2 linked regions of the Arabidopsis thaliana genome follow. The protein of the gene in region 2 interacts with the protein of the main gene of each other region in a biochemical or structural test. Each region holds a gene or a part of one and is shown on either strand. Other genes may lie near its edges. The genes, in order: HDA15 and CDKB1;2.

Region 1 (6,826 bases), on a different chromosome or scaffold from region 2:
AAAAGAATTTACAAATGTTTTTAAAGATTTTATAAGAGTTTAAAAAAGATCTACAAGTGTTTTTAACGTTTTTTACAAATGCTTTTAAAGGGCTTTATAAGAATTTATAAAGATTCTATTGAAATATTTGAAGGATTTACAAGGATTTTAAAAAGATTTTATAAAAGTTTTAAAAACATACAAGGTTTTTTAGATTCAAATTCTCTTAGAAAACAAACATATGATTAAATAAAATGTGGTTGATTTACAAAAATTCAGCTAGTTCATAATCGAAATTAACCGATAGCCCCTCTATCTACCTAAAATCAGAAAGAATTAATCTGAATCGAAGCGATTATTCGAAAGTTCTTATTTAATAGAGCTGGACTAATATTCTTAGCCGAACAGTGCCAAAATTTTGGTAATTAGATTTGGTTCAAAATACCGACAAAACTGTTTTGTTTGGTTTTGGAAGATTGAACATATCCGTATTTAGAAGCTCTTTTAGTTTTTCATAAATTTCTAAATATTCTTAAATTCTTCTACTTTTTTCTTTTTTGTAAATCAAATTTCCTAGCCGTATCAAACTGTGTCAAATATACTGAAATTGATTGAAATATACCAAAACCAAAAAGAATATACCGGAATTATTGGAAAATGAGGATTTTGGACACCGAGAAATGAACAAGAAATTTGTTTTTGGTTTGGTTCGACATCAATAATTTTAAGATAAACCAAACCGAACTATAAATTTGGTTAAAGTAGGAATTCGTTTATCCAAACCGATTGCCTAGCTTAAGAGGTCTGATGAGGATGGTTGGTAAGCAGGTTAAAAGGGTTCTTTCTATAAAACCCTACCAAATGTAAGTGATAAAGATTGTTCAGAGCTCCCTAATTGCAATAAATTCCCCCAGATCAGTTAGGGTTACAAGTAAGTGTAGACAATTCCTACGACGGATTAGGAAGAATGCTTTCTAAAATCACTTTGATCTTGAAATCATACGAGCCGAGAGAAAGTTGTACAAAAGCTTCTTTCGTCCCCATTTCCACCATGTCGGAACCCGAACAACCTTCCTTTTCATCTGATTTTCTGTAAAACCAGTGAGATTTTATTAGGAGAAAGAAGGATGAAGAATGAAATAGTTTTTTTTTTGGGAAGCATCACTCACTTTTGTTTTCGATCAGACGTGCTTCCAACTCTGAGAGTAATTTGGAGTAGCTGATAGCAAGTGATGGCCAGAACTCCAGTTGGATATTCAGTACATCAAGAACAGTTTGCAGGCCGGCTACTGAAGGCGTGGTGGCGATGGGCAACTCGTTCTCCGGATTTTCACCCAGAAGCACCTTTATAGATTAAGCGGGATCATGAATCTCCATAACTATATGCAGATTTTAAAGGATATCAAGTTTGAAATAGAGACTAACCTTGATCACTGCTGTTGCAGAAGCAGATATGGAGCGAAGATTGTAGCTGCAAATGAAAACAGGAGATTATTCAAAAGCTGCTCCTTACAAACCAAGAGGCTACTCCAAAAAACTGCAAAACACATACCCGCCCTCGAGAATAACTAGCATTTTCCCACCACACAGATCACCCAACATCTGTGTCATTCGAGAATAGCCAGCCGGAGTCACCTGAAAAAAGGAGTAGAACAGAACATCTATCCTCTGTTGATATCCACAAAACAATACACTGATTCCAGAAGTGGTAAATTACAGCTCGAATATGAAGCTTACATCACAGCATCCTAGTGGGTCTCCTCTAGCCGCATCAAATCCCGCAGATATGATGACAAAATCTGGAGAAAATGCAGAAGCTGCAAGAGAAGGTTCCAGTTAAAATTAGACTGAGTGCACATTCAAAAGTGAGCTAAATGTATTTGGTCCACTTCCTGAGCATATTAGTCATCAATTAAGCCAAAACGTTTATCAAATGGGGAAAAGTAGAACGACTCTGTACCTATGGGGAGAACCACATGTTGAAACGCAAAGATATAGTCTTTATCCCCAACTCCACCGCAACTCCATGGAACATTTACACAATAACCTTCCCCACCATTAGAACCAACCTGCACCCATAATTAACATTAGCAAACTATTGTTCTGCCGCCTAGAGAAAATTCAAATTTTGGAAACAAGGCAGAAATTAGAAAATAATCCCAAAATTTAAGACATAAATCATAATGCAAACCAAACACACAAATAAGGTATATGCATATATATACCAACAACTAAATCTACTCATGAATGCTGGATGAGACAATGTAAAACAGAAAAGCATAGGTACCTCATCAGCAGCTCCAGTACCGGGATAGAAGTTTCCTCCCTCATGTCTGTGCAAGGATATGTACAATACCTATGCAATGACTCCCAGTAATAAGTTCAAACAAGGTCAACTCACAAAAATAATTTACTGCATCCAACACTCCAAAATTGATGTGCAGACATGCATAGATTTGGGCAGCTTACAGATTTGTTTTGTTCGAATATCTCTTGGGTTCCGTTGCCATGATGGACATCCTGCAACGGTAGATATAACATTGATATGAGCCAAACCACACAATGCAGAGTACAACGAATTAAAAAAGTTTGAAGATCTACAAAATCACCCAGTTTAGAGTTATCAGTAACATTACCCAGTCCACAATCAGCACCTTCTTTGCCCCTGCTGCTTGTGCTACTAATGCAGCAACGGCTGCATTATTGTGAAGGCAAAACCCCATAGCATGCCTGACGCCAGCATGATGACCGGGAGGTCTAACCTGATACAATCAGAGATTTTTTTTTTTCAAACTAATATGGTGTAATTTCAATTTAAAGCAATTGTGTAGTTGCATCTTTAAATTTAAAAATTTTGGTGAATTAGACATACCAAAGCAAAACCATTTTTTACACGGCCAGTGAAAATATCTGTAGCTAGATCAGCGCACAAACCTGCTGCAAGTCTAGCAGCACGTGCTGAATACTCATTAGCATATGTGTCAGAGGTGAAGTAGCTGCCAGACAATGGTAAAAGAACGGGATCAAGAGCAAAAAGAGATAAATGAGGAGCAGCGAAGGTAAAGGAAATTTCAATTCAAGTTTGAACAGTCAGATTAACAAGCAAGGATATGCACGGTGAACGCAAAAAAAAAAGTAACAAATGGTTTAAAATTCAAACCTATAGAGAAGCTGGCTTGTAGTATCAACAGCATCAACATGCTCTGAAGTGTGGACCTCAAAATTGACATATACAAACCAGTTATGAAATTGCTTGTAAAAGTACTGCAATGAACATAATATTAGAATTGTCTCTAAGACAGTTATGTAGCAGCTCACCATCTGGAGTTCTTGTTTCGTGATTTCCCTTGCATTGATAGGCAAGCATCTTCCAGGAAAAACACCTGCAAAAAAATTCAAACGTGGTGAGTACCAAAATTACTCCCAACAGTATGATACTGTAAAATGAAACACATGATATGATATATGGGATCAAGTCTCAGAGAAGGTAGACAAGGACGCTAGAAGCTTCTTAATTGAAGAAGTTATGTTCTGATCTTTTCCTTTTAGAATTAGAATTTTATTATTTTCCTTTTTAGTTTTAACTTACCTCGGCTGCAAGAGATCTATATAATGATCTCCAAATCTTAATAATAATCAGCTTCCAAACATTAGTCTTCTTCTCAAGAGAGGCTAGGTTTAAAGGAAGTAAACGCAACATACCAGCTGTGGCAAGACTAGCAGCTATAGCTCGAAGACGATCAGGTCTCTCTGGATGTGGTTGTGCCTTCACTTCAAACTTTTTAAGCATGCCATCAGCACATATTAAATAGAAAAACTTGCACGAAGAAAAGCTTTGGAGATGATAATGTAGAGATGTCAACAGATACTAGAGGTTTCTCAGGAAAACATAACACATAACAGTAACAAGATCATACTTCTGAGTGTAGCAACATTCTCTCGTCGAACCCAACAGCTGTCGAGCTGGTTGCAGATGAGCTTCCTAATATCAAGTTAAAAGAAAAGTGAACATGCTTACAGTTACTTAAATAGCATGGAACTGAGACTAACAATATTTATAAAGACATTTTCAGAGGAAGCAAGGGAAGTAATTCCTACCTCCATATTTCTCCTCGACTTCAATGAGACCAGTGTCTTTAAAAAAGGGAGACGCTAAATATCCATGCCTCAAAATGCCAGATTCCTTGTGCTCACCGCATATCTACGTCAAGGAATCAACTTTACTAATACATAACCAATGTCCAATGCGCATTGCTCAGACGTACGTTTGTCACTTTGAAATCATAAAAAGTAGTAGCCAAGCAAGAAAAAGTAAATAAAAAACGTACACAACAGTGGACCATATCACCAGGGTTCGACATAGTGCAATTGACACAACACCATTTTACAAACTCCATAGGCGCCTGCACAGGTTCCCAATCACAATCATCATCCTCATCATCGTCATCATTGAGTAATGCATCAGCACCGTAAATATCTTCAAACGTCATTTCTCTAGAAACCCTAGCTCTTTTCTGCATAAGACACAACAATGACCAATATCACCAAAAGCAGAACCAACCAAATCTCTGACAATACATTAAAAGGAAGCCATGGTTTTTAGCTTACCGCTGAAACTCCAGGAGCTACATTTATATCTCCATTGCTACACTCTTCTCCCGAACAAGGAACAGCGATATCTCCACCGTTCACATGTCTTCTCTTTGAACCCTCACAAGACCTCTCGATAGTTTCTACAACCATTGTTACCTCAGTAGTCACTCAAAACTACTAACCAGCTGAAAATAAATCTCCGCTGTGCCAAAAGAGAAACAAAGAAAAACCCAATTTGAGAAATTTTAAAAATCAAAAAGTTTCATATACGAAGAGCTAAAATCAAAATCGAAGAAAATGTAAAGAACTCCACACACAGCTACAACAAATAACTTTACGAAGAACCCAACTTTTCTTCGAGTATTATCGAAATCGATCCTCGATCCAGAACTCAGGAATTGTTTTTTTTTCTCTATGGAAACTGAATAAAAATATCAACGACGGTCTCAAAATATCATACCTGAAGAAAACTTCCGGCGAAACGATGAACAGAGAAGGCTGCGTCCGTCGCGTTTAAAGGAGCGCGACGCTACGATAGCACAACAGAGCAGAAATGAGAGAAACGACGACGGCGACAACGAAGATGACGACGTTCAGACTTGAAAGAGTAAAAGATTATTTGGGCTGAAGATGAAGACCCAATAACACTATAAGCCCATTACCAAATTTGAGTCAAACTATTTATTTTTATTTCCTTTTGCTTGGAATTTTTCATTAATGTTCAAGTATTGAAAGAGCAAAGTACGACTGAATCTTACTTCACAAAGCCAATTTAGGTTTGTTGTCTTCTCGAAATGGATTACAAAAGTTACCATTTTTTAAAGGGAATGAGACTTTAGTTGTTATGTCATTGAATTTTTGTTTGGTAAATAACCTAACTGATAACTTCATAATATTTATAGTGAAAAATGTTTGAATCATCAGGTAATTAAACGTCACACTACAGATTGTAGAATGACTAATGGTTAAACTAACTGATAATGACCAGCTAACATAATCAAAATACGCCCAAGCGCATTAACACATGTGAGACTGATATTTGTTTCCCTTACCTTTTTCTTTTACCTTAACCTAATTCTAACTGTAAGTACTGAATCCAATTTCTTTGTTATATAATACATGTTTGTGTGCATGCATCTCCATATAGTACTCAAAAGCATCGTCTTTGTCTTTTCTCTAAGAATTTATTATTCATACATTAATATTAATTCTACAAACATGGGACTATGGGAGATAGTATTCCGTTATATATATAGTTCACAAGAAGAATATTGAGTGATATATTTCCATATATAACAACGACGACGACAACAAGAACACACCCACATAAAATGAGAGATGAACACCGAAATGTTAAAGATGTAAATATGTTGAGCTCTCTCTCCTTTTTATACCTCTATCATCATCTATACCTATACATGATAACATAAATATGTATGAAAAAATGTGTGTTGACTATCACTTGTGTGAACAAAGAAGCATAGTAATACATTTTCCAATAATGTAGAACCTTCCTTTCTTCTTTTTCAGAAACTCTCCAACTCCTTTTGGTGAAGAAGGCTTGTTCTTCTTCTTCTCCCAATTCTTCACTGCTTCCTCCTTTGTGTACTTCTCCCTCATTGTTTAAAGTGTGTTTATAAAACAAACTTTTTTGTTTTTCCTTATTATCAGGGATTCAGGGTGATTGTGTGATGATTGTGTGATGTTTAAATGGAAGTGAAGATTCATCATATTATATATATTGGAGTGAGAGAGAAAGAGATAAGGAGAAAGTATTCCCTACCATTGATTCGGGACCCTTCAACGAAACAACCCAAAAATAAAGGCCACTTTGTGAAGTGTGACCGACTAGCTTCCCATTATGGTTGAAAATATTTGATGTATTGTTTTCTTGTCTCCTTTCAGTTCAAAGATTCATCATCGGTAGAGATTGATTTATTCACTTTGATTATTGGAATATTATGTTAGAACATACGGTATTGCAGACCGTCCATATCTCATCTTAATTTCTTTGAATTTAAATTGAACATGCAAACTAACGTTATGGTTAACTGCTAAATAAATACATAAAATGCAAATTCCAAGGAGCTTTCGGGTTTGTTTTGAAATACATGTTTAAAAACTTCTGCATGACTATAAAAAATCACGAAACTAAGTGTTATATGCCTTGCCTTTAGAGAAATGCACGAGCTAGTCAAAAGTTATCGGATCACAATGTCGTTAATGTATAACAATTAGGTCTAATCACAATTCA
Region 2 (4,121 bases):
TCATGACACCATCAGCATTCATATTTTTGTATGAGAATCAGTTGTTTCTAACATTCAGGAACCGAAATGTTTCTGTGTGGAATTTCCGCGGAGAGCTTGTGACCTCGTTTGAGGATCATCTTCTTTGGCATCCAGACTGTAACACAAACAATATCTACATAACAAGCGATCAAGATCTGATCATCTCATATTGCAAGGCAGATACTGAAGATCAGTGGATAGAAGGAAATGGTAAGTAGACTCATCATCCACTCTTCAAATCAAGAAACCTCATGGTCTGATTTTGTTTTGCTATTGAGACATTGTCGTGATTTTGGTTGTTGATGTAGCGGGGTCGATTAACATAAGCAATATCTTGACTGGTAAATGCTTAGCTAAGATAAAAGCAAATAATGGTCCTCCTAAGGAAGAGGACTGCAGCAGTAGTGATTTGGGGAATTCCTCTCGAAGGAGAAGTGCGGTTGCTGAGGCTTTGGAAGACATAACCGCTCTCTTCTACGACGAAGAACGGAATGAAATATACACAGGAAACAGACACGGCCTCCTCCATGTCTGGTCTAATTGAAGCTACTCATCATTTGTTTTGTTTTTTTTACATTAATACAAGAGATCTCTGTATCTTGTTCTGTTTCTCAATTGTGTAATATCATGAGATATGTAATTTACTTGTGTGTTTGAGTAGCAATTGTCGTTGTAATGAAACAGCAAATATTTCAAATTCGTCTCTCATTTATGTACACTAATGATTTGTCTGCTTAATAGGGTTAACCATTTTTGCTTTGATAGACTTGTTTACATGAACAAATAAAATTGGCCACTTAAAGAAGATTCTCTCACTCTCGCTGAACAAACAAGGTTTTCAGATTGTTTAGTTTAAGTACAAATCTTTCTAAAGCACACAGCATAAGACACCAAGACAATAAACTTGAGCCATCAGCTTCAGAACTCCAAAGAGAAGCCTGATCAGTAATTTGGCAGAGGTCAGAACTGAGATTTGTCAAGGCTGTCAAAGTAGGGATGATCGAGAGCTGCTTTTGCTGAAATTCTTTCTGCTGGATTGTACTTCAACATTTGCTGCAATTGTTCAAAGGTTCAAAACAAATTATCATCAACTAGGAACGAACCCCAACAGAAAGAATCTACTAAAGAGATCAAGTATGCAAGAGAATCTTAGGCCACTTCTCCAACAATGGTCATATTTTAGAAAAGAGCATTACCGTGAGAAGATCAATTCCTTCAGGAGATAGAGATGGAACAGCACGTGATAAGTCTTGCGGCTCCCACTTTGGATAGACATGCCAGTCACGCAATGCCATTACACCCGGCCATTGCTGCTCAGTTGGTGTTCCTAACAATCTCCAGAACCCAAAACAAAACCATACTTCAGATATATTGATACTAGACAGTCCCCATAATCCAAATGAGTTCACGAGTACTGAACCTAATGGGCTAAAGTCCTAAACTGGTTCCTGTATACATACACATTGGCATCAAAAACAAGAAGCAAATACCTGAAAATATGAAGTAGTTGCTGAAACTCAGAATCACCAGGGAAAAGAGCTTGCCTCCTAATCATCTCGGCTACAAAAAAATGGGGAAACATCAGTAATCCAAACAGTAGAACAAAAGACCATTAAAAGAGACATAGTAGCTGATTACTAACCAAAGATGCATCCAACAGACCAAATATCAACAGCAGTAGAGTAATGAGTAGAACCAAGCAAAACTTCAGGAGCTCTATACCAAAGAGTAACAATCTCATGTGTATAAGCCTTAAGAGGCACAGTAAAAGCACGACTAAGACCCAAATCAGCAATCTTAAGAATCCCTTTATCCTTATCCAATAGAAGATTCTGCGGTTTAAGATCACGGTGAAGCACACCATGGCTATGACAATGAGCCACACCTTTAAAAAGCTGAAACATAAACCTCTGCACAAGAGAAGCCTCAAGCGGTCTAGGATTCGAGCCCTTTCTATGAGAATCTATAAATTTCTTGAGATCAGTGTCGAGATACTCAAAAACGAGATAGAGATTGGATTTGGGAGAGTGAGAAACAGTCGAATCTTTCGATTGAATAACATGTTCGACGCAGAGGAGACGAACGATGTAGATTGATTGAGAAAGCATTTGGAGAAGAGAGATCTCACGGAGAGCCGTTGGTGGTATACCTTCTTCGTCCATTTCGAGCCTAGTTTTCTTCAGAGCGACGAGTTTTCCGGTGGTTTTCTCCATTGCTTTGTAGACTTTTCCATAGGTTCCTTCACCGACCTTTTCGAGCTTCTCGTATTTCTCCATTGATGGAGGATTTTGAATTGAGACTGATGAATGTTTTTTGTTTGGGTCTTATAAACCCTAAAGCCCCTTTTCGATTTTAGATCTGGTAAATAAAGGCGCCTCTTTGCTATAACGTTTAACATTTGAATCCCTCGCACGCTTCACACGTACCAATAATATTTTATTAGTCAAAGACTCAAAGTCATTTTAAACAGATAAGTATAGTATAAGATATTTGCTTGATTATGTTTATAGATTTCAATTCATTATCCATGGTGAATGTTTAGTTGAATGAATCTATGCATGATCTTTGATGTAAAGCCGGCCCTGAGTACAAAAAGCTAAGCTCATGCTTGCAGCCACAACCCATAATAAAGATTTTTCAGTCATTTATTTTGCTAAACTATTAATATTACTTGAAGAGTCGATCATTTCGCATTAATTGGTTGAAACTTCGAGCTTTTCCAACTTCATTTTAACTTTAATCTAGTATTTAACATACTAATTAATAAGACTATAACTGTTTTAGCTTGTATCCCATTAGTTTTCTCCTTATACGTTAATGTTCAATGTTTGGCACAAACTCAAAAAAAGAATTTCTTACTACGTAGTTTTTTTTCACTTACTCAACCAATTGGAAAAATGTTTAGGTTTGATTTTTTGTGTTCGAATTTGTAACTTCAATTATTTTGGGACTGTGAACTCTTACTCATTATTCATTAATGGTGGGTTGTTTCTTGTGTTCTAGGCTTCTAGTATACATGATTCAACTTCATATGATATTGATTCAGTTTCACATTTTTGATTTATTTCAACTTTATATTCTTCTTACACTCATTCCAATTTCATGTATGGTAATTGCATCAGTTTTGATCGATAGTTACATTAAGAAAACCATTTCTTTTTACAATAAAGATACTACAACAACAACAAAAATTCTGACTAGGTCTACGAATGTGCAAGGTATGCAATTTCACAAACTCATAAAAATCATCATAAGAAGTTCTATGTAAAGGGGAAAGAAAAACAAGATTATAAACAAATTGTGTGTTTCATGTGGAAACTAAACAATGGCTGAATATTAAAAAATTATTGGACTACTATACATAAAAGAAAATTACAATAATGAAAAAGAAAACAAAGATAATATTCAATGATAGGGCATTGACTAAACGAAAGAAAATGGCTTAAAGACTTTAAAGTTGATTATGAAAAACCGTTACTGATTTACTAGGGTCAATAAACTTATTTGCAACCATTTTATTAAGGGAATTTAATGAAAAAAACCGTCAGCTTTGGTCAGATCTATTTTTAAATTCTGAACTATGTTTTTAGTAAAACAAACTCTGAACTAAAACCTGTTAATAAACTTAACCCCATAGTAATTAAATATTAATGGGATATTAATTTCCAAAAATCGACCAAAGAACAATGACAGAATCCGTGATCCAACTGAAGATCGTCCACCTCAAAAAGTTCTTTATACACGTGAAAAAGTTTAAATGGTAAAATAGAGAACAATGAATTATGTTTCACAAGATCTTCATTTTCAAATTATTAAATTTAATCTTTGCATATTTAGACTTGCAGCAATTGTCAACAAGTCGGACACAACAAACGTTCATGCAAGTGTAAAGCAATGCCAAAACCACCCAAGAAACCTCAAGGACGACCAAGGAAAAAACAGAAAACAATGGATGAAGAGAACCCTATCACTCAGCCAATACAATCTTCTCTTCAAAGTTAATGCTTGACAAGTCTTTACTTTAGAATATCTTGTCCATCTGAAACGATTGTTTTTTTTTTGTGACAAATATTGTTGTGTTGCAACAGCTTCGATAGTTA

Evidence for each region.
Region 1: the proteins of CDKB1;2 (region 2) and HDA15 form a complex in vitro, tested with the Arabidopsis thaliana proteins (one study listed by BioGRID).

The regions. Positions count from the first base shown.
Region 1 is NC_003074.8:6,359,501-6,366,326, reverse strand, and holds HDA15 (histone deacetylase 15), read right to left. Parts: upstream 5,152-6,826; 5' UTR 5,033-5,151; intron 4,775-5,032; 5' UTR 4,723-4,774; coding exon 4,588-4,722; intron 4,494-4,587; coding exon 4,308-4,493; intron 4,181-4,307; coding exon 4,078-4,180; intron 3,962-4,077; coding exon 3,897-3,961; intron 3,758-3,896; coding exon 3,682-3,757; intron 3,363-3,681; coding exon 3,298-3,362; intron 3,196-3,297; coding exon 3,140-3,195; intron 2,976-3,139; coding exon 2,852-2,975; intron 2,742-2,851; coding exon 2,616-2,741; intron 2,500-2,615; coding exon 2,449-2,499; intron 2,336-2,448; coding exon 2,267-2,335; intron 2,049-2,266; coding exon 1,940-2,048; intron 1,797-1,939; coding exon 1,717-1,796; intron 1,615-1,716; coding exon 1,532-1,614; coding exon of another isoform or gene 1,504-1,531; exon of another isoform or gene 1,451-1,503; coding exon 1,405-1,450; exon of another isoform or gene 1,324-1,404; coding exon 1,145-1,323; coding exon of another isoform or gene 1,141-1,144; exon of another isoform or gene 1,070-1,140; coding exon 928-1,069; 3' UTR 712-927; and 1 more. Other genes in the region: RTFL20 (ROTUNDIFOLIA like 20), read right to left, coding at 6,031-6,192. UniProt on the Arabidopsis thaliana protein: Responsible for the deacetylation of lysine residues on the N-terminal part of the core histones (H2A, H2B, H3 and H4).
Region 2 is NC_003071.7:16,150,727-16,154,847, reverse strand, and holds CDKB1;2 (cyclin-dependent kinase B1;2), read right to left. Parts: upstream 2,376-4,121; 5' UTR 2,298-2,375; coding exon 1,664-2,297; intron 1,582-1,663; coding exon 1,512-1,581; coding exon of another isoform or gene 1,442-1,511; exon of another isoform or gene 1,357-1,441; coding exon 1,218-1,356; exon of another isoform or gene 1,075-1,217; coding exon 982-1,074; 3' UTR 762-981; downstream 1-761. Other genes in the region: AT2G38630 (Transducin/WD40 repeat-like superfamily protein), read left to right, coding at 1-231, 330-565. UniProt on the Arabidopsis thaliana protein: Together with CDKB1-1, promotes both the last division in the stomatal cell lineage as well as the number of stomata.